Ovis aries: one gene and its partners. The protein of the gene in region 1 interacts with the protein of each later gene in a pairwise test. Links are inferred from orthologs where the notes say so. Each region holds a gene or a part of one and is shown on either strand. Other genes may lie near its edges.

Region 1 (4,413 bases):
ATATAAGTGACTGCTGTGATACTAAACCATCAATTTTATACAAGTATGATGAGTTATTATTCCTGCAGTGAAACATTTTTAGTGGAAAAAAGATTTAAAATGGTGGGAGTTTGGGGGGGGGGCGGTGTGGGGGAAGCATTGCTCGATAACCTCCTAAACTCCATTTCAGGATTTTCTAACATTTTATAGTAAGTTAATATTTGTTATGTCTATTTTGCCTTCAAACACTTGTCTGGTAGAAAACATGCAAAAATTGAATATATTGAAAGGTACTGAAACTTTAAATTACATAGTATGATATAAAGCTTAAAGTAAAAGAACTGAGGTTTGGGGTTTTTTTCAGTGACATGGCGAAGTCTTCCGAAGAAGATCATAGAGCTTAATTACACTGAAAGTTTTCATACATGTCAGAAAAACAAGACAACAGAATTTTTAAAATATTTTTATTAATAAACATGTGCTTGATAACTTCAAATTTAGAACACTTAGAACCAGCATGAACAAGGTAAACTTCTTCAATGATAAAGATTTGAAATGGGGGAATAGATACTGAGCTGGTTCATATTAACCTCCCTGTTCTATTCGTATCTTGTTCAGTGAAAACTTGATTTACACAACTCTAAGTGCAGTATTTCTAACAACTCCTTTTGCAGCCTCAGAACACGTCTCAAACTGATCTAGATGTTTAAAGATGAAAAATGAGAAATTTGCACTGTAAAGTTGAATAATATCTAATTCACATTTCTTTCCATTAATATAAATCAGAAACAATTTACAGTAAACACAAAAACTACTCACAATAGTAGTAATAACAACAGTTCACATTTTTACTCAACACTTCTTGTGTGAGCCAGGCCGTGCACTAAAAACTTCTGAACATGCAATTTCACATTCAGTTACCTCTGGGAAGTGTCACGAGTTCCCATGGTTTTCACAACTGATGATGATGACGCCATGACAGCTTGCAGCACTGACAATTTGCACTGTCCAAGTCTCTCCCTGGCATTGTGGCTGACATGACTCATACTGCAGCAGCTCTGGTGCTGGCTTGCAAGCTTTTACCAATGTTAACGTGAATATGCAGGCCTGACTTACCCCAGAAAAACCACGCTAAGTCTTTACCACTAGGTGACATACCTGCAGGACAGCACAGAGACACGAAAAGCAGCTGTGATCTAGGTCTGCACTAAAGTCAGTTTTCTCGGGACTCAGAAGTGCCCCTCCAGGCCTAACTGCAAGAGGGCGGCTTCAGCCGCCTCCTCCTCTTCCTTGGCCTCCTCCTCACGGATCTGCACAAGCAACTGGAAGAGGTTAGGGGCCGGCCCTTCCGCAGCCCCAGTCAGCCATAGCTGCCTTCGGATGGCCCCGCTGTGGTTGGCCCCGGCAATGACTTGTTCCAGGCGGGCTTGGTTCACGTTATCTTTATCTATGGCTCCCTTCTCCACCACTTTCTGCAGCAGAGGCTCCAGACGAATGACATAAGCAGATAATTTTTCTCCCGGGTTCTGGTAAGTGTTCAGAAATCTGACCTGCACATCCCTGGAGCTCTCCACGCTTCCAAACACCTGCTCAAGCGCCTTCAGGCATTCGGCGGTGGTAATATCTGGGTTGTTGGTCTTGAGGATGCGGATGACATCAGCAGCAGGGCCTCGAAGACTCTCCATCAACCGCCGCCTCTTTTCTATATCAGACACCTGCCACTCCTCAATGACCTCATTAGCGTGCTCCAGCCAGGGCTCAAATGTCTCCTCCCCAGGCCCCGGGATGTCCCTCCCCGAGAACAACGTCAGCTTCTTGTACCATATGGATTCTATAAGAGGCTTAATAACATTATCCAAAATATAGTTTAGCATCTCTGCTGGCATATCTGGGCCTGGGGCCGGAGCGGGGTTCTCAAACCCAAGGACACGGGCAACATCTTGCACAGTCCATCCCTCTCGGGCTAGGAAGAGATGCAACCTTTCTAGAAATTCAGCGTCGGAAGTCGGAGGCTTAAAGACTACTTTCCAGACCCCTCCTTTACCCGGCATCTCCCTAGGGATGGCAGCGTAATCCACAGTTCCAGTGAGCTCTAACAAGGCTGCTTTGGCATTCTCTTCCCTCCAGAACATTCTCCCAAGCACTCGATAGTGCACCTGGGGCATCGCAGCCTGGAGGGTCTCTTCGATTTCAGCCTCATCGCAGTTCACCGGGATCCCCCAGACCAGCAGGGCTCTCTGGGAATTCACATCCATCCCTCTGCACCAGTCTTCCAACAGTGTCATCGCCATTTTCCCCAACTATCAAGAGCCCCTGATAGTTGGGTTATCAGGGGGTTAGATAAGTTAAGACTGTGGCTCCCTGTGCTAAAGGACTTAGGACGACAGCGGACACTCCCCTGCAATTTGCCCAAGGGAGTCAAGCTTCAAGCAATCACAATTAACAAACGACACCAGAGTCCAGCTCTCGTCCTTTCACTGCCTCCACCAACGTCCGTCCTCCGCGTCCTCGGAGCGAAACTTGGGGGATGCTCAGTCACGCGCCCAACGCCATCTCGTGTCTCCGGTCGGCGTCCGCGGGCCGGGTCCCGCACTTGCAGGCAGGGTGTCGTGTCTCCGCGCAGAGGCCCGGAGGGAAGGCAGGAGGAGAAGGCAGGAGACGCCGCGCTCTGAAGAGGCCGCCGGGGTGTGATCCCGGGGCGTGGCCGCCAGTTCTCCGCAGCCCAGGAGCCGACCACTCGCTGCTGCCCCTCCTGGCATCAACCCGGCTTCCGCGGTCAGAGCTCGGCCTTCAGGCGCGCGAGGAGCCGCTCCTCTGCAGACTGCGAACTGTGCCGTCCCTGCAGGGGGAGACTGTCCAGAGGTCGCAGCGAGGCCAGCCCAAGAGCGGCTTCTTCGCTGGCGCAGGTACACCTCTCTGGGCGGCGAGGACAGTCGGATACCCTGAGCACCAGCAGCCGAGGCGCGGGAAGGAGGCGGGAGCGAGGCTAGAGGCGGCGCCGGCGAAGGCAGGCCGCAGCGGCTGCGCGTGGGCTGCGGCGAGCTGACCCCGAACGGCGTTGAGGGGCTGCCGGCCTGACCGACCCGCAGCCAGCCCAGGCGTTACTGCCGCAGCGAGGGGCGGGGCCGGCCGACGAGTGGCTTTCGCCCCGCCCCCGCAGCCGAATCCTGCGCGAGCGTAGCCAAGGCAACGGCGGCCTGGAAGACTCCAGACCCTGACGCTCCGGCTGCCTGCGGTTGCCATGGTGCCAGCTAAGGGCCCGCGGAGCGTCCTCTGATGGCGCATGTCCTTTTTCATTTTCCAGATTTTTTTTCCTTTTTAAACAAAGCACTGTGTTTAAAAGTTTAATATAATTCTGGAGTGCATTGAAGATGATATGAGTCTGTCAAGAAAGACTTAACTCACGTCGCTCCTTCAACCAGTCCAGTTCAGTCGCTCAATCATGTCCGACTGTTTGCGACCCCATGGACTGCAGCACGCCAGGTCTCCTGGTCCATCACTAACTCCCAAAGTTTGCTGTTTAAAAACAGATGCAGTACCAGCCGATCGATCGCACTGTGCACCCTCCGCGAACTTCATTCCAATAAGACTAAAACGCTGGAAGTGTGCAGTGTTCTCCTGTCAGACACTGAGTTGAGCCTTTTTCTTCTAAAATTTTGTAAGATCTAGATCTATTAAGTAACCTTTGTAGCCAGGCAAACGCTAGTGTGTTATTTCCCCTGTCCTGGCATCACTGACAAAGGGCTGATAAAACAGAATGCTTATGGCTCAAAAATTTCAAGTAATTCCTTGCAAGCAAACCAAGGCCAATTTACGTCAATCCTAGATGGTGAAAATCTCCCCTAAAGGACACAGCATTCAACTATGAATTTTTAAAACCTTATTTAATAAAAGGTTTAAAGATACAGAAGAACATTCAAAAGTAAATAAGTTACATAGGTACATTACAATCACATCAGCAAGATTTTCTTTAGTGTGTTAATTTTTTTTTTTATAAAAAGCACACAAAAAATAAAATCTTCCGTCTGGTCTATCACAACTGTACAGCAAAAGAGGTAATATTTATATATATGTACACTATTTTAATATGTAACAGTCTTTTTAAAAAAGGGTGCCACAGGCAGCAAACACACAGAAGGCAGTGTCTGATTTTTTTTTCAAAATAAAAGGAATATACTTATTTATATGCTATTAAAATATTTGTACAATAATTACAGACTGTCAAGGCTGTTCCTGTGCTCTGTCCCCTCCAACAAGGCCTTCGACTGAGAGACAAATGAGGAAAAGGTGAAACAGCTGCAAATTGTTAGAGGCAAATATTAACACAGCAAAAATATGGGGAGGACATACAATTGTTTTATAAAAATATGCATACTTCCTGTAAACCTAAGAAGTTAGGCTTGCCAGTCTGGTAATAAATACCATGCAAGAAAA
Region 2 (3,819 bases), on another chromosome or scaffold:
AAGTCTCAGACTAGAGATGCACTTCAGTGAGTCAGCACCAATCAGGGGCTACCTCTCAGGGAACAGAACTAGACCCAGCTAGGAAAGAAGCATCTCCCTTGGGCTCCCCAAGACACAGCCTCCCACCCCTCCCCCATAGCCTATGTCCTGAAACCCACAGTGACGACACATTCAACTCCCACTCTTTATTGGGACAAAGGAGGAAGGAGACAGACCAACACCACAGGCCCACCCACCAGGGGTGTCCAGACTTCAGCACCTAGTCCAGCATGAGTACATCATAAATACAGGCAACATGGGATGGGTGAGGTGGGGGAAGGTTCCATACACAGGAAGAAGACTACACAGGCCCTTCAAGTCTTGGGAACTGAGGCATATATAGAGGTGCAGTCCACTTACGAAGGAAGAAGATAGAGGGGGGCTAGATTTCCATTTTGCAGAATACAGATTGGAAAGAGGAAAGAGATGGCATGGAGGGAAATTCCTTTTTATATATTTTCAAAGAGCAGATTTCACCTTATAGATGGGTATGGGAGGGAAGGAAAAGTTTATTTTAGATATTAGCAGAAATGGCTATGAGAGGAAAGTGTCATTTTACAGACAGGGAAGGTACTTTGGGGACAGTCAGTATACATGGGTGAGTATTCACAGGCCATTCCATTCCCAGGTGACAGAAGGGAGAGAGAGGTGCAGGAAAGGAAAAGGTGCTAGGCCTAGAGAACAAGGGAGGTGTACCCCACGGGTACCAGCCCCTCCGCTCCATCCCTCCCACAGCGGAGCCAGTCCTCGTCCACAGTGGCGATGACACGCAGCACTTCCCCTCGCTGGAAGCTCAGCTGGTCAGGTCCTGCAGCAGTGTGGTCACAGAGAGCCCGGACTGCCCTGTGAGGAGCCAGAGGGAGACGCTGGAATGAAGTGAGGTGGGGGTGCCTGTCGCCAGCCTCACCTCCCCACCTCCACGGTATGTATGTCCCTGTTGGTTCAGCTCAGTAAACATCAGTTGGGCTCATGGGGACCAAGTCTTTTCAACGCTGATTTGTTTGGGGCCCCAGCCCTCTCCTAAGCTCCAGACCCACTGTTTAGCTCGTTATTTAATGTAATTTGCACTTCTCTGGTGCTTCATATTCAACATATGCAAACTAAATGACTCATCTTAACCCTCCAAACTAGTCCCTCCTCTTAGGTCCCCTATAGTCGTAAATGGCATCACCTATACAGTTATTCCTGGTAAAAAGGGATCTCAGTCTCTACATCCAATCAATCACCAAAACCTGTTTGATGTTGGTTTCTCCCACCACTCTCTTTATCTTCAGCTTCACTGCCATTATCTTAGTTTAGGCCTCTATACTCTCTGGACCACTGGCATATATCTAACTGGTCTGCCTGAATCCTGACCACCCTCTCCATTCTCCACACAGCAGTAGAGATCCTTCTAAAACTTATCATCCCTGGGCTTAAGACCCTTTAATTGCCTCCCACTGCCTTGGAGTGATACCCAGCTTCCTTCACTGGTCTGCTGACACCTCTGACCTCCCCATCACCACTGCCAGGATCCTCCACTCCAGCCATGTACTCATAGTTCCTCACTTACCGCACTTTGCCTTCTCCACCTTGGCATCCTATCCCTTCTGCAAGATTCATAGCCCACACCATCACTAGGCTTCTCTGAGTCCCCAGACCTCAGGAAGAAGCCCTGTCTGTATGGCTCAAAGGGCTATCTTCCTTCCCCAGAGTCTTTAGCACATATGGTAAGTGCTGATTTATTAACTGGTATCCCCACTGGAGTACAAGCTCCTTGAGGGCAGAGATTCCAACAGGTTTCCCTTTGCATTCCCTCCTCCAGTATAATGCTAAGTGCATAGTATGTGCTTGAAAAGTACTTGAATGGAAAATCAAGAAACCTGATTCAGGGGTGTCCCTGATGACTCAGTAGTAGAGTCCCCCTGCAATGCATACCTGATGCATTCCATCCCTGATCCAGGAAGATCCCTCATGCCACAGTGCAGCTAAGCCCACGCACCGCAGCTACTGAGCCTGTACTCTAGAGCCCAGGAGTCACAACTACTGAAGCTGTTGCACCCTAGAGCCCTGCTCCACAACAAGAGAAGCCAGAGCTTTGAGAAGCCTCCGCGCCACAACTAGAGAGGAACCCGAGCAGCGACGAAGACCCAGAACAGCCCCCCGAGGAAAGAAGCCAAATTCAGTGGATTGAGAACCTAAAAGAAGCCAGACCCTAAAGATGACACAGCCCCTGGTGCCAAATTAGAAGGCCCCACTAAAGGGAAGCCCAGTCCCCCAGGGGACACACACGCATTCATGGTACACTCATACAGTAATAAAACTGGCCAGTAACTGGGCATGTTCCATGTGCCTAATACTTTTATAAAATCACGTTTAGTCTTCATAACAACCATTACAAAAATATAAAGTATCCTCTTTTTACAGAAAAAGAAACTAAAGGTTCAGAGAAACTAGTATCACACTAATAATAAACAGCAAAGATGCAATGCGAACCAAGCACTGTCTGACTACATCACCTCCCACCCACACTGTGAAGTCAGAAAAACCCACACATGTAACATAACACGTGCACACCAGTGCTTCTCCCTGACCCTCCTTACCTGTGGGTCTGCGCCGTGCTAGGTTCTGAGACCTCAAGCTCCTTAGGAGATGAGGGAGCCTCAGGAGGTGCCGCCCGCTTCACCAGAGCCAACACACTCACTGTCGGGGGCAACCAGCTGGATGGTCTCCTGGAGGAAAGGATGAAGGGTCACAGAGGTCAGCCCACCTCCACAAAATAACCAAGGATCTGGGACTTTGGAGGGAGGGAGAGGCTGAGGGACCCAACTGTGGTTCAAGAGGTCAGGAATTGGTCACTGCTGAGGGCAGTGTGGCAAGGTCTACCACACCAAAAGCCACAAAGGGACCTACGGAACCAGCAGGCTTAGCTCCAGAGGGTCACTAAAGAGTACCTGAAGCCACTGAGCCACCAATGGTCAAACCCTGGAGCAGGAGTCCGCAAATATTTCCTTTTTTTCTAAAGAGCCAGAAAGTATTTTTGGCTTTGAGAGCCAAGAGGAAAAGTGGACAATATCATGCAGGTATTTAATAACTGTTAAAAGTTCATGACTTAAGAATATAACCATCATGGCTGTAGAAAAGCCAGGCTGTCAACCTCGGACCTAAAGGATCCCTACCGAGTTTCAAATTAAGAGTGACTGAGGGAGTTCCCTGGTGGTCCAAAGGTTAGGACTCTGCTTTCACTGCCAGGGCCTGCGCGCAGTCCCTGGTCAGGATCCTGCCAGCACCCAGTGCACCAAAAACAAATTGGGCTGACTGAGGGCTCTGAGAGGGAGTCAGAGGTCATGGAGGGGGCCAGGGACCCCATTACCTGGACTTCGGGGCTCCGCTCTCAGTTTCTGCAAGGCCCCCAGGCACTCCAAACAGTCTCCCCAGCCATACGCCTCTGCCTGGTGCTGCTTCCTCTGTGTGCAGGGACCTCTCCGGTGCGGCCTCAGCTGCAGTCTGGGTGCGCTTGGACCCCCACCGGGGAAGAGGCAAGCCCTCGGCACCACCAGACGCATAGACCCGGGAGGCCTGGGTCAGCTGCTCCCACCAGCTGCAGGGGCTGGGAGAGCTTGAGGGGGCTGAAGGGCCCGGAGGGGCCTCCCCAGAAGCCCCCCGGAGGCTCTGGGCCAGCCGACCCCCCCAGTGCAGCACGGCTTGCACAGTCTGCTGCAGGGCCGGAGGCGAGCCTGGTGGGGGTGGGGCCTGAGGCGGCCCCAGGGGCAGGTGGTGGTGGTGTTCAAAGAGCAGGTC
Region 3 (3,456 bases), on another chromosome or scaffold:
CTGCCTGATGAATCCCTTTATCCTCATATGGGCTCTAATTTCAAGACAGCTAGATTTTAGGGCAGGATCTTTGGACACTCAGGCACTTTCATTCCCTTCTCTCCTCCCTCAGCTACTGAGGGGTCAGGAGAAAGTCCCAGGCCTACAAACCTCCCAAACTAGTTACAGAGTCCCCTCCTATAAAACCCCAACTCTCCCCCATCCCCTTTCCTTCATCTCCAGTGGCTTGCTGCCGCGCTATTGTTTAATAAACATATTGCGTCAAGGGACTGAGAAGAGGAAACTAGGGCCGGCGGGGTGGAGTGGAGGTGTGTTAGTGAAGGGGCCGGGACCACCTCCTCTTTCTTTAATTATGCCCCGGGCCTCTCGGGTCGCTCCCCTGGCTGCAGCTCGCTCCCTCCCTGTGTCCTGCGCTCCCTCTCGGACCCGCCTAGGGAGAGGGCTCCACAGCCAGCGTCCCTCCCGAGGCAGCCCGCTGCTTTCCCTCCGCCTCTCCTCCGCCCCCGCCGCCCCACGTCGAGAACTGCCCCCCTTCCTGCAAAAGCGGGAGGGGGCTGGGGGGCGGGCGGCCGGCAGCTTGGGCTGAGGTTACGTGGCCGCCGGAGCCCTGACGTGATAGCACATTGCATCAGCATAAAACAATCCATCCTCGATATGGAATGCGGTGCGGACGTATGACAGCGAGAGCGCAGCCCCCTCGCCCGATTGATTTATGTCGGAGCTGACGCTTTATCAGGCAGTCGGAAAAACTTTGACCAATCATTTTGCAAGGAGCGCTGAGCCGGGCTGCTCCACTGTACTTTGTTGGCTGAGAAGTTGAGCAGGGGGTGGGGGTGGGAGGGTGGGGGGCTGGGGGGGTCGCGTCCGAAAGCCCTCACACCGGTCCGGGTGCCACCTCTCCCTGCTTGAGCGCCGCGCGCGAGCGTTTCCCTTCCCCCTGCGAGCGCCCGGATAATGTCTGAGAATGTCCATTTCTGGGACGCTTAGCAGCTATTATGTCGACTCGATCATAAGTCACGAGAGTGAGGACGCGCCTCCAGCCAAGTTTCCTTCCGGCCAGTACGCGAGCCCCCGGCAGCCGGGCCACGCGGAGCACCTGGAGTTCCCCTCGTGCAGCTTCCAGCCCAAAGCGCCGGTGTTCGGCGCATCGTGGGCGCCGCTGAGCCCGCACACGTCCGGAAGCCTGCCGTCCGTCTACCACCCCTACATCCAGCCCCAGGGCGTCCCGCCGGCCGAGAGCAGGTACCTCCGCACCTGGCTGGAGCCGGCGCCGCGCGGCGAAGCTGCTCCGGGGCAGGGCCAGGCGGCTGTGAAGGCGGAGCCGCTGCTGGGCGCGCCTGGGGAGCTGCTCAAGCAGGGCACGCCCGAGTACAGTTTGGAAACTTCGGCGGGCAGGGAGGCTGTCCTGTCTAATCAAAGACCCGGCTACGGGGACAATAAAATTTGCGAAGGAAGCGAGGACAAAGAGAGGCCGGATCAAAGTAAGTTATAAAAAGTGAGGAAATACCCAGGCCGAAGGCCAGGCGAGGGGGAGGGGAGGGGAGAGGCAATAAACTGCGGACAATGTGAAGGGAAACCGCGGCGGTGGCCAGAGAGCAGGCGAGGGCGGAGGGAAGACGGAGGAAGGAAGGGAGGCAGCTGGGTGCCCCAGAAAGGGAGACTGAGGCCGCCGGAGGCGCGCCGCCCCACTCCGTCAAGTCCAGCGGGAACCCGGGGCTCAGGGACCAGCTCGCGGCTCTCTCGGTCTCCCTTCCCCCACGCCCCCGGAGGCCCGGGCCGAAAGCCCGGGAAGAGGCCGACAGCCGCCGGCTGGGAGAGAAGCTGGCGGGGCCGGGGAGGCAGCCGGCGAGGCCGAGAGCCCGCGCGGGCCAGGGCGGGAGCGCGCCGGGAAGCCGGGCCCTGCACGGCTGGCAGGGCTCCCCGCGCCACGCGCACACCGTAAAAGCCGGCCAAGGGGAAGTGGGAGGGGGCTCATTAGGATTTTATTTGCGATGCAACAGCTTGGCGGAGGATTGTTCCTAGCAGATCTCGCTCAGTAGCCGCTCAGGGTCCGCAGCCGGAGGCGGGAGGGGCGGGGGAAGCCCAGGACCCGGAGACTGAGCCCCCTCCCGGGATGCGCCGGCCCCTCCCCAGGAGCCTTCCCTCCGGTCGCCCCCTCCCCTCCTTTGGCATCCTCGCCCGGGTCGCCGCTTCCTTTCCTGCGGTTCCCGCTGTTCTCCGCAGGGCTCCCTAGCCCCAGCCGGAGCTGTCCGCCTCGCGGGGAGTCGAGGAATCGCTTCCGAACTTCAGGGCCGACCCGCGGCGTGGAGAAAGATCCCGAAAGGACCCTGGGGAGAGGAAGGGTGGGGGCAAGAGAGGCTTGCGGAGAGGCGGAGAACTTTATCCTCGGAAGGTAGTTTCTCACCGTCTCCCACCCCTCCAAATGCACCCCCTCCAGGAACCCCAGTCGGACTAATTTCCAGGAGATGCTGCTCCTTAAGGAGATCAGAAAGTGTCTCGGATTTTTCGTTTTTTAAGGCTAAGAAGGGCAAGTTGGTCGGAGCTCTTAGGCCCCAAACAATAACCTGCAGGCTGGTGGGGACAAGTCCTCACCCCTTACTCTTTTTCAAAAGAATGAGGGTCAGATTTTTAAAGTCTCTGCTTGCCCTACCGGATTTCCCACCAACAGAGTGGCCCAAGGGTCCTTTGGGGGTTTATTGCCTGCTGGAGAGAAGAGAGCTGCCCTACTCCCTCAGGTCACCCCTTCCAACCTGCCAGGTGGGATCACAAGAGCTGACATTTGGGTAACACGGCTCTTCCCAAAGCCTCCCTACTCACACCCAAGCAGACCCCCCACCCCAGGCCCCCAAACTCTGCCTGGAAAGTCCATTATTGCAAGGCAGCAGTTTGGCTAGGATCAATTATTAACAGTTTTTTTTTTCCTCTTTCATATTTAATGTGACTTCGGGTCACATCCCAGGCAATCACATTAAGGAAATAGCACTGCAAATTGGTAAGACAGGGTACTTAGTGTAGGATGAACCAGATTATTATTACTTAAAAAAAATTCAGTGCTTTTCATTTGAGATGAAGGAATCTAGCAGAGGGTGGCTGCTATTTTTAATGAACTCTGCTTTATTTAGCAACTTTTCTGAGTTCAGGGGTAAGGAGAAGAGAAGCCTGTATATATTTTGTTTCCTGTTTATCCCCCACTTCCCCTCAATCTCCCCTTTCTCTGTTCCCTCTCACCGGGTGAAGCCAGTTGGATTTAGGTGTGCTGTGATGGACCTCTGTTACCCCCACATGATCCATGGCTCCCCACCTTGGGACTGGAGCAATCTTGCGTCCCAATTTCCCTGAACTTGCTTTAACCAAACTGCGAGATGAGCAGGAGCGGAAACGGAGACTATTGCAACCATAAGTTATCTGTGAGCCCTCAGCGCTCTCTTGTCCACAGGCTGGAGGTGATAAATGGTT
Region 4 (4,285 bases), on another chromosome or scaffold:
TAAGTTGAACTTATTTATACTTGCTCCCTTCTTAAAGAAAAAACAACAAAACCAAACTATAAGTGATTTACCGAAGAGACCATACACACACATGATGTATTTGTGTATATCTGCTCCATAGGCTTTTGGTAAAAATTCAGTAGTTATTGAACATCCACTGTGTTCAAGTCATCTTGAAGTTTATAAACCTGAATGAAACATGATTCTTGATGCCTGAGTTTTGGTGTGTTACCTCATTTAGAAGCAGTTGATTTTTAACAAGAGGGTAACAACTCCAGTTTTATATCAGAAGCACCTGGAGGGCTTGTTAAAAATATACCTGTCCCGGCCCTAGCTCTTAGCTTAGGGAAATTCTGATAATAGTCAGGGCCCATCCTGCAGTGCAGTTTTAACAACCTCCCTATGTGAATCTGATACAGGAACCAGGATTAAGAAACACTATTTTAAGCTAAGAAAGGACTAATCACAGGACTGCAGCCACAAGTCAACCAGGTGGGTACCCTTGAAATCTACAAAGGGTAATGTGGCTACACGTTTTCTAAGGCTGTCTCTAATTCCACTGTCTCTGAATGGACAGAATAGTTGTAAGAGCACTCAGGAAGGGCAGGGTTGGGCCCAGTCTTCTCTGTAAAACACCTGGAACAAGAGTGCTATAGAGGAATAAAACAGCTACAGCCAAAGACCATCTCCAGAGCCTTTTCAAATGCTCTGTTCTTATTTCTCATGCAAAGCATAGTTGTGTAAATTTTCTCCTTCATTTGACTGGAAAGTCTTTCTCTAGTTAAGGAACACAGTAACCCATTTGTAATAGCTTTTTGACAGATATTTGTTTTGAATCCTCCTCATCCAAATCCTGGGGTCTGACCAGGACGTATAAAGGTATATATCCATCTGAAAGTTTGTAAATATCCATAAAAGTACATTTGTTTATAAAACATTTCAACTGCACAAAAGAATATGTGAATGTGTAACATACACAGGGAAGAAAGAACAATATAACAAACACCCATGGACCCACATCCCAGTTTATGACGGAGAAAGTTGCCAATACCCATGAGGTCTCCTGTTGAACAGCTCCTGAAATTTAAATCAAAATGCGTGCATTCAATCATTGACTGGTTAATTCATTCACTTGCCAAATGTGCCCGATTGCCTACTAATCAATGTAGGCGATTAGTATCTCTTCCGTTGGAGTGGCGTGGGGGTGGGGGTCAAAAGTGACACTTCCCGAAGGTGCTCAGATTGCCTTTCCTGCAAGCGGCCCTAACTCAGCCGGGCCCTCCAGAGAGGGCGTGGTTTCTGCGTGCAGACACTTTGGGCAGAAACTACTGGTCCCGGCAGTCCGCGGGGCGAGTGGGCGGAGCCGGGCCGGGGGCGGGGGCCGGGCGAGAGGGGCATTGTGTCGGGAGCGCGGAGCTGCATTTGTCTGCTCTAGGTGCTGGTCGAGCCACCGTTGTGATCGCCGGCGTAGAGCTGGAAGTGTCAGCGGCGATCACTGTCCCGGCGGGAGACCAAGTCCGAGCAACCACGCTCCCGTTGGCCGCTATCGCTGGCAGGGGGCGGCGTGCCAGCGGAGCAACATGCAGATAGGCGCCCAGCGCCCTGACGACCCCTCCCGAGGAAAGGAGGCCGGGGCGGCGCTGGGGCGGCGGGGAGCATGAGGCAGGCCGGGGGCGGCTCGGCTCCGAGCGCTGCTAGGGAGCGGCGCGCGCTGCACACTCGCCGGGGGCGCAGCGGAGGGCGGGGAGCCGGGCTGGTTGCGCCAGCGGGCGGGAGCCGGCCGCCGGGAGCTGTTCTGATTTCCGACGCGGACGCAGGGGGCCCGGAGTAGCCCCCTGCCCCGGCGTGCAGCCAACATGGGCAACGCCGGGAGCATGGATTCACAGCAGACCGATTTCAGGGCGCACAACGTGCCTTTGAAGCTGCCGATGCCCGAGCCAGGTGAACTGGAGGAGCGATTTGCCATCGTGCTGGTGAGTGCGCGGCGGCGGCCGGGAGCCGGGCCCCGGGGCCCCAGACCAGGCGGTGCAGCTGACCCCCGCCCTCTCCCCTTCTCCGCGCGCCGGGAGCGAATCCCCGGTCCCAAGGGGGAGGCGCCTGCTTCGCTTATTGTGGCCTCCCTTGGCCTCCTCTCGGTCCTCCTCCGATCTCCCCGCGCCAAGCCTTCTTGGGGTCCCGGAATGGGGCACGGGTCTGGGGGTTGGCTGACTGGCCGGCCCCGAACCCATTGTCTGGCGGGAGAGGCACCTCGCAGCGCGTGTGTCGGGGAGGTGCGGCGTGGGCGTGAAGGGAAGGTGGCGCGGGCTTGGAGGAGGGGGCGGCTGGCCGCTAAGGCTTTTTGTTTAAGAAAAAAACTCCCCTCAAAGCCCGAGTCCTCGAGAACCATCCAGCGGGCGCCCAGCCGGGGCCCTGCGGGGTACGGGGCTGATGGGCGCATGTGGCGGGTTGAGGGCGGCGCGGTGCGCGAAGGCGAACTTGGAGGCGGACGTCTGGCTTGGCAGAGGGGAGCTCCCCCAAAAGGGAAAGAGAAGGAAACCCGCGGCAGTGCGGCGTCCCCGTCCCTAAGCGAGGAGGGGGACATCTGAAACCGGCGCGAGAGAAGCTTCGCCTCGGCGCGTTCCTTTTCGTCTTAAAACAAACCACAAAAATGTGCAGTTTTGCGGGGACGTGTTGCAAGCTGTCCTGACTCTAGGGATCCCTCCCCTCCCCTTACCAAATCTCCGACTCCCTCTCTCGGAATCCCCTTCTCCTAGCTTTCCAGCTTTGTAAATCTGAGACACTTGAAGACTCTCTTCTGCCTTTCCTTGCTGGGTGTAAGTTTCTGGGCCCCTCCCAGCCTGAGCCTGTCAGTGCTGTGAGCTCAGGAGGGTGTGGCGGTCTCCCCCTCGCCCCAGCCGGCGTCTGGACCGCAGTTAGTCCCCAGACTTCGACTTTTAGTGTCTCAGCCTCTCTTAAGGGCTGTTGGGAGGGAAACATAAGATTCGACGCGTTTCTAATACTTGCGCTCGTACAGTTGCCTTTTCCTAGCTAATTACCTGTACATCCTACAATAGTAGGCAGCAAGAGAAACTTGTGCTTAAGGCAATCGAATTTCGCGTCTGCATACGGGGTTTGGGCATGTAACCTCCCAACTTTGGGGATTGACCAGAGTCTGAAGAACACTGGGACGTTTAAAAAGCCTTTCTTCAGGCTCTTGAAAAGGACTGGTTTAATATGGGGACTGTTCTGGATGGCAGATTAGCTTTGTGCTCTTTGGAAGAAGAACCCACGAGCTTTTTCACACCACCTGGAAACTCCGGCGTGGCAGTCTGGAGATAGATGAGGCTGCCTGTCTTGCACTCCGTGGTCTGAGATCTCACACAGCTGCTCCCATTGTTGTGCAGAATGAAACACTCTGAAATGGAACTGCATGGGCTTAATTACTTTTGAAGGCAGCCTGGGTGCAAACTTGACCTGTCTTTCCAGGGACAAACCTTTTTGGTTCAAAATCCTCTTCCTACCAGACTACATGGTTCTTACCTCCTAGCCTTGGGTGTTCTGTCTTTCTGTCCATGCTGTGCTGGGTGGGTGTGCGTGTGCGGGTTGTGTGTTCTGGGGGTGGGTGTGTGTGTGTACACTGTAAGTGGGAGGGCCAGTGACGCAGGCAAACCAGATAATAACAATAATGCAATTAAGTTCTCAACTGGGATAGCATGTTTTGCATGAGCTTTGAGTTACCCTGCTGATTAATGACACATGGTATGAATTACCCTTTAGGAAAATAATGTCCCAGCATTAATATGGTGGATCTGTTACTTTAAATCTAGAAAGCACAAATTTAGTATATAGAAATTCATGTTTCTACATCACAAGTTCTTTGGAGCAGTGGTTACTGTGTAGCTTCTTTTACTCTGTCATACACAAGCACTGGATGCAGTTCCTTTCCTTAACTTTATAATATTTTACGCCTTTCAAAACAAATGAACAACAAAACCAAAAAATACCAGGCTGACCTTTTTCAGGTTAAGACAAAGCTTTTGGGAAAGTATCAGCTTGGGGGCCCTCTTGTTAGGGATGCCCTTGGACCATTGATGTGGTATGCAACTCTCCCTAGTCAGCTCCAACTGCCCTTCAGAATTCTGTATGGGGAGTTAAAAGGAATCCTTTTTATGGGCTGATAGAAGTACGGAGTTCTGGTGACTTCTCTTGTAGTCAATTTTTTTCTAAAGGTGTCCATGTGATGCTCTCAACTGTGCTTTTTCTTCATGAATTACTTAACAAATCAGCTAAAACCATTTAATTCTGG
Region 5 (4,404 bases), on another chromosome or scaffold:
CCAACCTAGCCTTGGAGAAAGGTGTCAAGGAAGGTTTCCTATAAGAGATGGGCCTAAATTGAGACTTATATATGAACTGGTTAGTTAGGTGAAAGTGGGCAGCCTAATTAGCTGAGGAGCAGGAAGTGGAGGAAGGAATCAAAGAGAAGATTCCAGTCAAAAGGAACAGGACAGTGTACACGCATGAAGAAGCAGTTCAGGGTTGCTGCAACCTAAAGTATGAGGTCAATAAGAGGCTGGAGATGCAGGCAGGTCCAGATGAAGCAAAGCCCTGGGTGATGGGCTGAGAAGCTCAAACTTTAGAAGCTCTAATGGATTTTGCAATTTAGTAAACAATAAATATTTGCTTAATGAAAGAAAAGATAGGGTGAATGAAATGACAGATCTTTAAATATTATTAAGCAGGACTTTGACTCAGATTTGTTTTCAAGGATCACTTGGGGCAGGATGGTAGGTAGTTAAAGAATAGTTATGCAGGGAATTGATCTAGAGACAGGGAAACCAGTTAGAAGGCCATCATATTTCAGGTGAAAGAAGGTTCAAAGTAGGACATTAATACAGACAAAAAAAGAACACAGATTTAAGAACTACTTAGAGGGTAAAATCAACAAGACAGTGATGGATGTGCTAAGATTAAGTACAGAGAAGACAATATTTGAACAGTCTGTGGGACTAGCAAGCAGAGGTATCCAGCAGGGTAGCCAGAGGTAAGAATGAAACTCAGCAGAGGTCTAAGCTGACACTTTAATTTGGGAGCATACAGGAAGGAGTTAAAGCCATGCTAGTTGACGTGCTCATTCAAGAATTGTGTACAGCATAAAAAGAATAGTGGGCCAAAGTCACAAGCCTTGGAAACACCCAACATTTTAGACAAGGAGGGAGGACTATCCACAGGAGAAATTACTGGTGAGGGAAACACTCGGGGGGAAAAAAAGCTAAAATGTAAGCTCTTCAAGGGAAGGAGGCACTTTGACATGTTCATCTGTATATCACAATAAATGTTTGTTGAATAAATCAGCTTAGTGTACTGTCGTGAAAAGCAAAGGAGTAAAGAGTAAAAAGTATCACCACGTTTGCAGCAAAAGGATCCAGTAATGATCGGAAGTGTCAGTCGCTCAGTCATGTTCGACTCTTTGTGACCCTATTGTGACCCACCAGCCTCCCCTGTCCATGGAATTCTCCAAGCAAGAATACTGAAATGGGTTGCCATTCCCTTCTCCAAGGGATCTTCCCAACCCAGTGATCGAACCCTGGTTTCCTGCACTGCAGGCACATTCTTTAGTGTCTGAGCCACTAGGGAAGCGTAATGATTAAAGAACGTATATTTGGTTTGATAATAAGTCACTAGTGACTACTGTATAAAATTTTAGGGGAATAACAGATCTGAAAGCTAGATCGCAGAAAGGAATGAGAGGTGAGGAATTGGATACAGAATTCACAATACTCTTCAAAAAGTCTGGATAAGGAGAAGAGAGTTACTGTATGTGAGCTAAAGAAAGATGGATCACCAGGAACTTTTTCTTTCTGGCTTGGGGGATAAGGAGCAGGGATCTGAATAACCTGACCTTGTTTATACATGACTGGGACACAGACAAGGGAAGAAAAGACAAATGAAAGCCCCGGTTTCATAGGTGAAAACATAAAAGAAAGGTCAGAAGCAAAGATAAAGAAATTTGTTTTGATCAAGAGACAGATCATCCTCTGATATTGAAGGAAAGGTATAGATAGGTGGTATCAACTTTGACGAGTGTATGAAAAGAAAGCAAGGGTAGAAATTTGAGGGAAAGCACATCGGATGAACTCAATTTTCTCCCTAAAATAGCAGATAACAACAAAGTAAGGTGTCTGGGCAGTTGAGAATCAGCTAAAGACAATCAATATAAATTAGTGGACAACATCCAGACCTCTGAAATCCAACTGCTCACGTTCAAATCTTCCCTCCACCACTACTCACTGCATAATTTGAGGCCAGTTATTTAAACTAAGACTTCTTCAGCTGGAAAACAATATTAATTATGGCTCTACACCACACTGTTGTCACAAGGGCTAAATTAAGATGTAAAAAGTTCGGCACCTGGCAAAAAAACAGCATTCAACATCATTACCACTCTCGTTAATAGTGAAGAATAGGCGCTATAAGGAAATGTTAAAAGATCATCCGACAACACTGCTTGCAGCGAAGGTGACAGGGCACAAATGTTCTGTCTCCCTGAACAGAGTAGTCCTGTCCTCTGTGTTCTAATGGCTCCCGATATATATCAAATTCTCAAAAGGCTCCAAACCTGGACCACATTAATTCCACATGGAAATTATAGCCTTGATTTGTTGAACCGCTATCATTGGTCTGCATGAGAAAAGGCTTGATTCTTCTGGTCTTCCTACAAGGCCAGCTGTGGATGCTGTGAAGGGCCCTCAAATTCTTCTCAAGGAGCGTTTCTGGAGAAAACAAAGTCGCTCCTGACAGGCTGCGAAGCCTCCTTGGGTCAGACAGTGCCCACTCTCTAATCTTTTTTCTGCTTGTGCTCTGACTAAGCTAGGTTCAGGTGTCAGGCGCATAGGTGAACCAACGCGAAGTGCAGTGGAGACCAACACGAGCGCCGCCAGCCGCTGAAACACGGCAGGAGGGAAATGGGCAGCCCTGGGCCTTAGAGCCCGAGGATGGAGCAACGCCTGCTTGCCTGCCGGGAAAGAGCCGTGAGAGCGTTATTCAGGGAACATTACTCTGGGGTAGAGGTGGACTCGATGCCCACACTCACGGCTCTCAATACGGCAGGAGACGAGGTAGGCCGACAACCGCCTTACCTCCAGATGGCTGAGGCCAACAAGCTCACGTTACTCCTTCACTTCCGGCGCTGAGGGATGACGTTGCAAGACAAACTGGGGCGCAACCTGTGACGTTTCCAGTGCCTGTCGGAAGACTGACTGAGGATCTCGCTAGATGCCCGGATGGGGAAGTGCCCGCCCCATTTGGTTCCGAACTGGGCAAAAGTCCAAGTTTGGTTCCTGGCAGTTAACCAAAAAACGACGAGTTCTCTCAGTTCCCCTCTATCCGAGAGCCGCTCCCCAGTCACCACCTCTTAATCTCTGAATTGGGATACACTTCAGGCAGCTATCCTCTCGGTGGCCGCTTCTAGGCAGCCATGCAGCATCTTGATTTTCGCTTTCCCTTCATAGGGAAAAGCTCCGGAGAAAGCAATGGCACCCCACGCCAGTACTCTTGCCTGGAAAATCCGTGGACGGAGGAGCCTGGTAGGCTGCAGTCCATGGGGTTGCTGAGAGTCAGAGGTAACTGAGCGACTTCACTTTCACTTTTCACTTTCATGCGTTGGAGAAGGAAATGGCAACCCACTCCAGTATTCTTGCCTGGAGAATCTCAGGGACGGGGGAACCTGGTGGGCTGCCGTCTATGGGGTCGCACAGAGTCGGACACGACTGAAGCGACTCAGCAGCAGCAGCAGCAATAAGGAAAAGCTCACTACTTTTAAAGCCACCGTTTCCGCTGTAGACAGTACCTGCTTGTGGCATTGTTTTCCCGCACGCTTTCGAAGCTACAATCGGCTTTCTCTTTTTCTGAGTGAGAAAGGTCTGAAGGGGCCAGAAGTGGAGAAACCTAAGATTTTTTTAATGCTGTCTTCACTGAATGAACTGGCTGAGGGGCTGTCAGGGAGGAGAATAGCAAGATGTTGGAATGAGATGTTTACTGATTTTTATGACAGTTCCAGGATGTTCCCTAAGAGTCATGAACTGCAAGAATTCAAAGGCATTCTGGCAGATGGAAAAACTGTGTCTCTTTTCTAATATCGTTTCCTTACATAGAGATTTAGGACTTCCCTGGTGACTCAGACAGTAAAGCATCTGTCTACAAGGCGCGAGACGTAGGATGAAGATATCAGCTATTAAAACAGAATAGGAGGATCTTCCAGGAAACAAGGGAGAGCTGCCCTTGTTGGCAGAAAAGATGCAGGTTTATATTAAGGTCACACCAGGAAGTGCGGGAGCACAAGGAGCAGCTCCGCGGCTGCACAGGCCTCATGGCAGTGGAATGTGGTTCACACTGTTCCAGGTAAAGAGAGGCTGTTGTGGTGACCCGACCAGTCTTGTTTTTCCCTCAGAATTAAGCACTTTCCAAGCATCACAGTGGTAAAGAATCTGTCCGCCAATGCAGAAGACACAATTTTGATCCCTGGTTGGGAAGATCCCCTGGAGAAGGAAATGGCAACCCACTCCAGTAATCTTGCTTGGAAAATCCCATGGACAGAGGAGCCTGGTGGGCTATAGTCCTTGCGGTAGAAAAGAGTTGGGCATGACTGAGCACCACACTCACACACAGAATTAAGCTTCTCTTAGCCTCTGCTTCTATAAATACCTGACCTGCCTATGTGTGTCTGGCATTCAAAATTGGAT
Region 6 (3,819 bases), about 59 Mb from region 1:
TGCTGGAGGCCTCTGTTGGACTATGGATGGGTAGGGTAAGAATAACAGGACAAATGACCCAATATTCCCCCTGCCCTTTTTTTCAGTTGTCTACTCTGTTGCATCTCATCCTCAGCTAGCATTTTGTCCCTTCAGTTTATACCTACAGTCATATTTGCCACATCTCTACTTTCCTCCACAGGTGGTTCAGGATCTGGGATGCCTTGTGTTCCAGGTGTCTTTTTCAGACAGTTTCTACCTGTATCACCCAAGGCAAGTGGCAGTGTTTAAAGTATGCCAAATGTGGAGTATGCAGATGGAAAACTGTGGTCCTGGCTTTACAACCTAGCATTGAATGTTAGAAAGTAAAAGAAAGCAGAAGAAATTTAGTGGGATAGACCTTTGTTGTACTCTTTAAAAGACGGAGATGTCAAGGTCGGTCGTTTTCCTCGTCTCGTGCACCAGGTGCAATTCGATGTGGTGGTAGCAGCCTTTTCTCTCAGTGAACTGCCCAGCAAGGCCGACCGCACTGACGTGGTCCAAACCTTATGGCGCAAGACAGGTCGTTTTCTGGTAAGTGGAAGCCCTTTTTTCCCTTCAAGTTTTTAAGCAGCTTCATGGGTCTGTTTCATGCCTTTCCTGTCCCCATTGGAGCTTGTCTTCGTTTTTAACCATTTTCATCCTACATAGATCCCTTGTCCCTCTTTTCAGGTCTCCATCTGCATCATATATGTAATACCCATTTCGTTTAGAATCCCTATTCTATTTGGGAATGCTCTTACAGAGCTACTGACATTCATGTTTTCATGTAATTCAAGGCTTCTTACTTTCCCTTTTGTAATCAGGTATTGGTAGAGAATGGAACAAAAGCTGGGCACTCCCTTCTCATGGACGCCAGGGACCTGGTCCTTAATGTAAGGTTCTTTTTCCTTCTTTCACCTTACCCTCCTTTCCCCACTTATTCTCACCAGTTCTTGGCACTCCCTTGCAAACTGAAGGGACTGGCATATAGTAATAAGGATGACTCTGGAGATAGTAAGCACATGAAGTCATGATATAGGGTAGTAGTTGGCAAACTCCAGCCTATGGATCAGATCCATACCTGTTTTTATATGAGCAGTGCTTATATAAACATACCACCTGTTTTTATATGAGCAGTGCTTATTTGTGCATCTATAACCATGTGTCTGTGGCTATAGGTCTGTTGCCTGTGGCTATTTTCATCATACAGATAGCAGTAGGAAACAGATTTTTGCCTAGTCTCTGGACCTTTAAAAAAAATTTTGTTTTTGCCAGCCCCTGATCCAGGGCACTTCTGAACTAAGAACCTTATCTGTTTAGGACCGTATGAACCAGTGTATAATCGCAAATTTCACTGTCTTGAAATGGGATATTTTTTTGAGAGTGAAGGTTACTGACAAGGGAGCGTACCATACTATGTGCCAAGTTTCTGCCTTTCTCTTGCTGCAAAGAGAAAGTTGTTTGTTTGGAGTATTAGAGAAACAGCCAGCTTAATTCAGAACATAGTTAATAATTACCAGAATTGAATGTTAGAGGAATCCTTAATTTATTGAGTGCAGAGATTGAGTTAGAACAGACCCCTCAGCCCAGCCTAAAATTTTTTTCATTTCCCTTGATTTCAGAGAAAAGAAAAGTCACCTTTGGACCCTCGACCTGGTTTTGTCTTTGCCCCAGTGAGTATTACTTCTGCCTTTCCCTGCAAGCAAAGATCTGAACTCAGGGCTAGCCAGGAAAAGAGGGCTAGCCACCATCCTCTACTCTTAATTCCTCAGTGATTCCCCTGGCTTGCCCTTTCATCTGCTCTGTGCTCCTTTATCCCTAGCCCTTCTTGACTCTATTAGTCGTAGTTTCTAGGTTTTATGATCTGTGGTTCTCTTGTCTTACCTCATGTCTTTGTGTTCACAGTGTCCGCATGAACTTCCATGTCCCCAGTTGACAGCCTCTAAGCCCCTGGCCTGTAGCTTTTCCCAGGCCTACCATCCCATCCCCTTCAGCTGGGTATGTACTCTGAGAATACTGTGGTAGGGAGAAAATAGCCTGGGAAAGCACAGTAGAAAAGATTCAGAGATGGGAGGATTTGGGAAATTCCAGAGAATGCTTGGAGGTTTTAGGGTCTGAATATATATGACTTATAGAATATGAGAAGAGTCACAGGAATGAGGTTTGAAGAAATTTGTTTTCCCTCGTCTTTTCCCGCAAGCCATCTCTGTCTCCTTGTCTTAGAACAAGAAGCCAAAAGAAGAAAAGTTCTCCTTGGTAATCCTTGCCCGAGGATCTCCAGAGGAGGCCAATCGCTGGCCCCGAATCACTCAGCCTGTTCTTAAACGGCCACGCCACGTGCATTGCCACCTGTGCTGTCCAGATGGGCATATGCAGCACGCTGTGATCACGGCCCGCAGACATGGCAGGTGTGGAGGGTGTGACCAGAGTTAGTGGGAGGCAGCGAGAGCCTGCAGCCCACGTTGACCCTCTCTTTTCTGTAGGGATTTGTATCGCTGTGCCCGGGTCAGTTCCTGGGGAGACCTTTTACCTGTGATCACACCATCAGAACTTTCTCCATCTCCTGCTCAAGATGCGCCTGAGAGTTGACAACGGATGTGGGACAAGTGTTTTCTTCTGTCTTGACGGCTGAAGCTGAAGCTACCTGGTGTCCAGGATGGGAGTGCTATTACTGTTACGGCAAAAAAAAAAAACAAACTAGTTCAAATATTCTCCATTATAGCAGACCATATTCTTTGAGCTTACTCGGCCATCCTCTCGTGTCAGGAGACATTCAACTTTAAGGGATCCGATATGTTGCATTTTCTTCCTTTGTGTGCCATTTGTCAAGGACTCTGTTCCTTATCAGTTCCTGGGATACAGGAATAAGTAGAGCTGCATGCAGTTCTCAGGACTGCTGCTGCTGAGTCACTTCAGTCATGTCCAACTCTGTGTGACCCCATAGACAGCAGCCCACCAGGCTCCGCCATCCCTGGGATTCTCCAGGCAAGAACACAGGAGTGGATTGCCATTTCCTTCTCCAGTGCATGAAAGTGAAAGTGAAGCTGCTCAGTCATGTCTGACTCTTCACGACCCCGTGGACCGCAGCCTACAAGGCTACACCATCCATGGGATTTTCCAGGCAAGAGTACTGGAGTGGGGTGCCATCGCCTTCTCTGTCTCAGGACTTCTCTGTCTCAGATCATGGGAAAGAGCACCTGCTTGGATTCCCTTCAGTGACTCCCTTCAGTGACCTTGTACTTGTTAGACTATCAATTTTGTTGCAACTGGTGGAATTTCATTCTTTTTAACGGCTGAGTAATCATTTTACTGAAGATATATAAGCATGCATTTCTTATACGCATGCTAATAAAATACTCTTGCTCCACTAGAGACTTGGGTCCCCCGCATCCTTCTTTCTGTCTCCAGCTACTTCTTCAGAGCATGGAAACCTAATGAACTCACTTTCTCACCCGAGCTTTAAAGACCTCCTTGAGAGGACACGCTGTGCCTTCGTGAGTGGTACAAGTCCTATGTATGGGCTTTATTGGTTTTCCACGTAGCCCAAGGGATATTGCCCTTTCCCTCTCTTTCTCTCTTTCTTTTCGTCGACTCCAGTGCCCAGGTCCTGGTCTGTAAAAGACCGCAACAAATGGCACCTGAAACATGGACATGGTATTCACCCTTGGCAAACTGGATGGAGTGACTGGGACCTACAGAGGTCGGTAAGTGCGGAGTTACGGGACAAATGTCTGGAAAGCCCCACCATTTTTCTACTTTACTTCATCATTTAAGGTTCAAAGACTTTTGGTTTTGTGTCAGTGCATAGAGGCATGCCTT
Region 7 (4,296 bases), on another chromosome or scaffold:
TTTTCAAGTGTGAAATAAGATACTACTTTTAATCTGAAAATCTACAGAACAAACGTATAGTTGTGTAAAATTAAAATTTTCCTTGTTCTGAATATCTTGGTGGAAACTTGAATGGTTAAATCTACAAAATGTTCTACATTTGTAAATTTTGCAGACTGGAGTTAAAATGGAAGCTTCTTGCATTTAGTTCCTCAAGTTCACATCTTTATATTATAAACTATAAACTGTGCTCTCACCTGCCTTCATTTAAGAACAATCCACAATCAGTCAATTACAACGTAAAGTCATATTTTTATTACTGTTTTCAACAAGACTGCTTAGGGTGAGGGAAGAGGTGTGGGAGAAGGAGGGGCATATTTGACATTGGCACTGAGATACAGTTAACATCAGCAAAACTTTGTTTTTAAAAGAAGAATTTTACATATAATTAAATACTTTTTTTTTTTCACTTGGTGACAACATTCAGGCAACCCAAAACAAAGTGGGGAGGATGGGAGAGGGAGAAAGAGAAGAGGGGGAGAGAAGGAAAAGGGAGAAACGACTATATTTTGATTTGAAAATGTACCTTGGGTTTCATTTTGTGGTGGCAAAGCCCGATTGCTTCTTTTGTGTGACCTTTTAAATTCACATTGTTTGGAAGAAAACGATCACTTTTGTGCAAGAATGTGATTTTGGTTGGGTGGTGGGTTTGCTCTCCTTTTTGTTTGCTTGTGAATTAAGGAAGTCTTCTGCCGGGTTCCGTTCCTCTTAGGTGGCTGACAGGAAAAGTTTGTGTCTGGAGTTCTCGCAGCTTGTCGCCGAGTTGTGTGTCTGTCGTGTGTTCGAGAGCATTCCCATCCGTGTCGCTTTTCAAGCAGTCCCCAGCGCGCTATAGTTTGTCCAGGCTTTTGGGATTGGTGAGAATCTCCCTGGCCAACCTCCAGGTCTGCTTGGCAGCGCTCTCCAGGGCCGAGTGGGGCTTGCCCTGGAAAAGGTCGAGGTTGGGCAGAAAGTAGTGGGGGCAGCGGCGGCACTGCAGGCAGGAGATGAGCTGCAGCAGGATGCCGTTGAGCCGGTCCCCGAGGCACGCCTCGTCCCAGTCCGTTTCCCGCGGATGCTTCTCGCACTCGTACAGCAGCAGCGTCTTCATGTGGTAGTTATTGAGCGGCTGGCCGGGCAGCTCCAGGTGGCGGTCCCGCAGCGTCTTCAGCACCGAGAGACACTTGTTTCGGCAGCCGCCCATCAGCAGACGGTTTTCAGCCTCCCCAAACTGGAGCACCCAGGCGTCGCTCTCGGCGGAGCTCTGCTTGCCGGTCAGCGAGTAGCACTCCTTAGAGAGCAAGTTGAACCCTTCGGCCTTGACCTCCGCCACCCGATTGGGGCCAGGCCAGGGGATGTGGGGCATCGGCCACTGTGCCGCGCTGCGGGGCCAGATACCGGTGCACTTGAACGCGGGAGTGATTTGCACCACGTAGCGCTCCCTGATGCGCAGCTTGACCTCGCTGGTATCCGCGATCATCTTGACCACATCCCGGTAGCTGCACTTGTCCACCGCCTGAGCCACCAGCGTCTGGAAACGGGAGCGGATCTTGCGTGCCGAGAGGTAGCCGGACGCCGTGATGAACTCGACCCAGAGAGACATGCTCCGCTTCCGCCCATCGCTCAGTTTGAGCACCGCGCAGCCGGGCAGCGAGCCGTCGTCCACGAAGTTGAAGACGCCCATCTGGTTTAGGTAGAGCACCACCTCGAATTCCGTGGGCGAGATGACCTCCAGACCCTCGTAGCGGGCATCGATCTCGCTCAGGGAGCTGATGAAGCGAGGCTCCTGCACCTCCACCTCCTTGAGCACGTCCGAGACCACCTTACAGACCTCTCGGATGGTCTTGGCGATGGCCGCCTTGCGCGCCTGGCAGCGCTCGGTGTAGTATTTATTGAGCTGGTAAACCAGCTTGGCCTGAGCGGCGATCATGTTGGGGCACAAGTCCGGGCTGTACACCGGCGTCTCGCAATACGTTGAGGGATCCAAGGCTCACGCGCTGGTGGTGGCCCTGCGGCTTGCGAAAGAGGCACTGCGCTCCCCTTGAGCCCCACGTTCACTCTTGTTTCCACCTGGGCTGACCAGCTGATGCTTCAGCCGTCTAGCGCTTTCTTTCCCCTCTTTTGAAAGCTTTTTTTCTTCTCCAGAAAATAAGAAGAAAAAAAAAAATCTTTGAAAAAGAAAAGTACCTGCTGGGACTTTTTTTCCCTTTCTCTTGATAAGTGAAATGAAGATGTGCCTGCGGGCAAGATGAAGGGAAAGAAGGGGGGTGGGGAAAGACAGGGTGAGACGGAAAAATTCAGGTTACCAAGAGGTTAGGCTTAGACGTCTGCAGCGGAGATGGTCCAGAAATCTGGAAATGAGGTCTGTTAAGTGCCGAAGTAAATTTAAAAATAAAAGGAAAACATTCAGTGTTTCATTCTTAAACTTCTCTCCCACGCTGGTAGTACTTCTTTATTCAGCTTAGGTGAGTGCTTTTCTCCTCACCGTCCCCCAAATGGAAGGTGAAGGGTGTAATTAATGTCCAGAGAGCAGCGAAGTGCAACTCAGTCCGCAGCACGCGCAGAGGTTCTCAGACGCCTTGCACTCCCAGCGTGTAGGTCTGCTCTCCGCTCAGGGGGTCCTCTGGTAGCGGTTTTCCTCTTTTCCTACTGGAGGCGTTGTTTGGACTGGGTTGGCTTGTTTGCAGTGGGTTCTTCTTGTCTTTCTCTAGGTGCAAACCTCTGGAAGTTCTTTGATTTTCATTTCTGCTTCGTAATTTATAAATTTGGCTCTCACAGAATCTGTTTTAGTGTGACGAAGTCCTTGCTTGCGTTGCATCTGGGGTTTAGTTATAACGACTTCAGGATTTTTCTTCTCCTCCCCCTTTAGGTTGCTTGTGCAGATTCCACTTTCTGAGTCGTCTCTCCCTCCTCCCCTCCGATCTCTCTCTCTCTCTCTCCCCTAATCTCTCTCCTTCTCCCTCCCTCCCTCCCTCTCCCCCTCCCTCCTTTTCCCTCCCTGTCTTTTTCCCTCTCTCCCTCTTTCTCTCTCCCCCCCCCCACCCAGCCCCCCACCCAATCTCTCTCTCTCCCCTTGCTGTTTCCTGGAGTTATTTAGTTTATGAATGGTCCTGTACCATCATGAGGGGGGTGGAGCTTCAGTTCCTACAATCGCTATCCGAGCTGTCAGTGCTGTAGCCAATCCCAGAGAGAAGACAGGCATGCTTGGCAAACAGTAGCAGCCACCGCTGCCCTTGATAAAGAAAGGGAGGAAAGAGAGAAGTAAGAAAATAGGAGGAGATAGTGGAAGTCAAACGCTTACACACATCTTACAGCCCCCTCTTCTTTATCGTCCGCTCTTATCATTTGCCAGGAAGAAAGAGTATATAGAGAAGGGACTTCTTGGAGATGGCTGGAATGATTCAAGGGAGAGTGGCAGTGGTTCAGAAAGGTTCACTTTTTTTTTTTTTTTTCTTTCCTATCAGCATTGTGAAGAAGGTGCAAACTCTAACAAAATTACTTTCGCTTCAAGGCAAACGGAAGGAGGAAGGGAAATCTGGGAAAGGACCTAAATTTTTCTAGATTTTCTCCTCAGGCAGTCTTCCTTTTCTTCCCCTCCCCTCTCATTGTTGCCAAGAACCCTAGCAATTGCTGTATGTGTGCGCCAGTTGGGCAGTTGTTGGGGAGGGGGGGGGTTGGACATGGGGTGAAGGTTTATAATCGTAAATCTCTTTTCAGTAATTTCCATATGCTGTTGAAAAACAAGGCAGGACACAAATAGTGCAAGTACCTTGTTTTATAATTACTTCATAATTAAGATTAAGATATATTTAATATTAATTGTTTCAAGAACTAACTTATTAGAAAATATGTTTAAGTTGTGAGAAATGGTGCAGATTTATATATGGTAGAATTTCTTTGGATATACTTTTAAAATAAACCACTAAAATTTTAAACTTAATAAAAACGAAGGGAAGTAAATGTGAACCTGAGTTAAAGTTTTCTTAAAATGTTTATGTTACAAATCTAATTTTGAGTATATTTTTCAGGCAGTACAGAATTTCTCTTATAAAATCATTTTATTTTCATAATTGACTCTTGCTTTTAAAAGACTTCACTGCTGCAAAAATCTATAAACTATCCTGTTATTGATTACACAGATGGCTTGCTCCTCCCTTGGCATTTCAGTGAAACTCACGCATGTGCTGTTAGTCTATGTATTAGCCTTTCAAGCTGAACCTATGGTAGCCTTTAGGTATTTTTGGTTGAAAAAGGTGTAACAGTGTTTCTGATTTGCTT

What was found.
Region 2: the proteins of PNMA1 (region 1) and RUSC1 interact in binary tests that used the Homo sapiens proteins (3 or more experiments, as listed by UniProt). The two-hybrid records come from large-scale screens. The link is inferred for Ovis aries from reciprocal best matches to the Homo sapiens genes PNMA1 and RUSC1.
Region 3: the proteins of PNMA1 (region 1) and HOXB9 interact in binary tests that used the Homo sapiens proteins (3 or more experiments, as listed by UniProt). The two-hybrid records come from large-scale screens. The link is inferred for Ovis aries from reciprocal best matches to the Homo sapiens genes PNMA1 and HOXB9.
Region 4: the proteins of PNMA1 (region 1) and FMNL2 interact in a two-hybrid assay, tested with the Homo sapiens proteins (2 studies listed by BioGRID). The two-hybrid records come from large-scale screens. The link is inferred for Ovis aries from reciprocal best matches to the Homo sapiens genes PNMA1 and FMNL2.
Region 5: the proteins of PNMA1 (region 1) and APTX interact in binary tests that used the Homo sapiens proteins (3 or more experiments, as listed by UniProt). The two-hybrid records come from large-scale screens. The link is inferred for Ovis aries from reciprocal best matches to the Homo sapiens genes PNMA1 and APTX.
Region 6: the proteins of PNMA1 (region 1) and METTL17 interact in binary tests that used the Homo sapiens proteins (3 or more experiments, as listed by UniProt). The link is inferred for Ovis aries from reciprocal best matches to the Homo sapiens genes PNMA1 and METTL17.
Region 7: the proteins of PNMA1 (region 1) and MAB21L2 interact in binary tests that used the Homo sapiens proteins (3 or more experiments, as listed by UniProt). The two-hybrid records come from large-scale screens. The link is inferred for Ovis aries from reciprocal best matches to the Homo sapiens genes PNMA1 and MAB21L2.

The regions. Positions count from the first base shown.
Region 1 is NC_056060.1:83,213,127-83,217,539, forward strand, and holds PNMA1 (paraneoplastic antigen Ma1), read right to left. Parts: upstream 3,086-4,413; 5' UTR 2,271-3,085; coding exon 1,209-2,270; 3' UTR 427-1,208; downstream 1-426.
Region 2 is NC_056054.1:105,500,732-105,504,550, reverse strand, and holds the end of RUSC1 (AP-4 complex accessory subunit RUSC1), read right to left. Parts: coding exon 3,392-3,819; intron 2,751-3,391; coding exon 2,622-2,750; intron 883-2,621; coding exon 714-882; 3' UTR 171-713; downstream 1-170. UniProt on the Homo sapiens protein: Associates with the adapter-like complex 4 (AP-4) and may therefore play a role in vesicular trafficking of proteins at the trans-Golgi network. Signaling adapter which plays a role in neuronal differentiation.
Region 3 is NC_056064.1:37,598,458-37,601,913, forward strand, and holds part of HOXB9 (homeobox protein Hox-B9), read left to right. Parts: 5' UTR 1-964; coding exon 965-1,481; intron 1,482-3,456. UniProt on the Homo sapiens protein: Sequence-specific transcription factor which is part of a developmental regulatory system that provides cells with specific positional identities on the anterior-posterior axis.
Region 4 is NC_056055.1:157,294,071-157,298,355, reverse strand, and holds the start of FMNL2 (formin-like protein 2), read left to right. Parts: upstream 1-1,387; 5' UTR 1,388-1,856; coding exon 1,857-1,973; intron 1,974-4,285. UniProt on the Homo sapiens protein: Plays a role in the regulation of cell morphology and cytoskeletal organization. Required in the cortical actin filament dynamics.
Region 5 is NC_056055.1:38,141,967-38,146,370, reverse strand, and holds the start of APTX (aprataxin), read right to left. Parts: upstream 2,862-4,404; 5' UTR 2,351-2,861; coding exon 2,283-2,350; intron 1-2,282. UniProt on the Homo sapiens protein: DNA-binding protein involved in single-strand DNA break repair, double-strand DNA break repair and base excision repair.
Region 6 is NC_056060.1:24,448,475-24,452,293, reverse strand, and holds part of METTL17 (methyltransferase-like protein 17, mitochondrial), read left to right. Parts: intron 1-181; coding exon 182-252; intron 253-444; coding exon 445-552; intron 553-824; coding exon 825-893; intron 894-1,622; coding exon 1,623-1,673; intron 1,674-1,905; coding exon 1,906-1,998; intron 1,999-2,223; coding exon 2,224-2,408; intron 2,409-2,483; coding exon 2,484-2,589; 3' UTR 2,590-3,819. UniProt on the Homo sapiens protein: Mitochondrial ribosome (mitoribosome) assembly factor. Binds at the interface of the head and body domains of the mitochondrial small ribosomal subunit (mt-SSU), occluding the mRNA channel and preventing compaction of the head domain towards the body.
Region 7 is NC_056070.1:7,409,631-7,413,926, forward strand, and holds MAB21L2 (protein mab-21-like 2), read right to left. Parts: upstream 2,839-4,296; 5' UTR 1,949-2,838; coding exon 869-1,948; 3' UTR 272-868; downstream 1-271. UniProt on the Homo sapiens protein: Required for several aspects of embryonic development including normal development of the eye.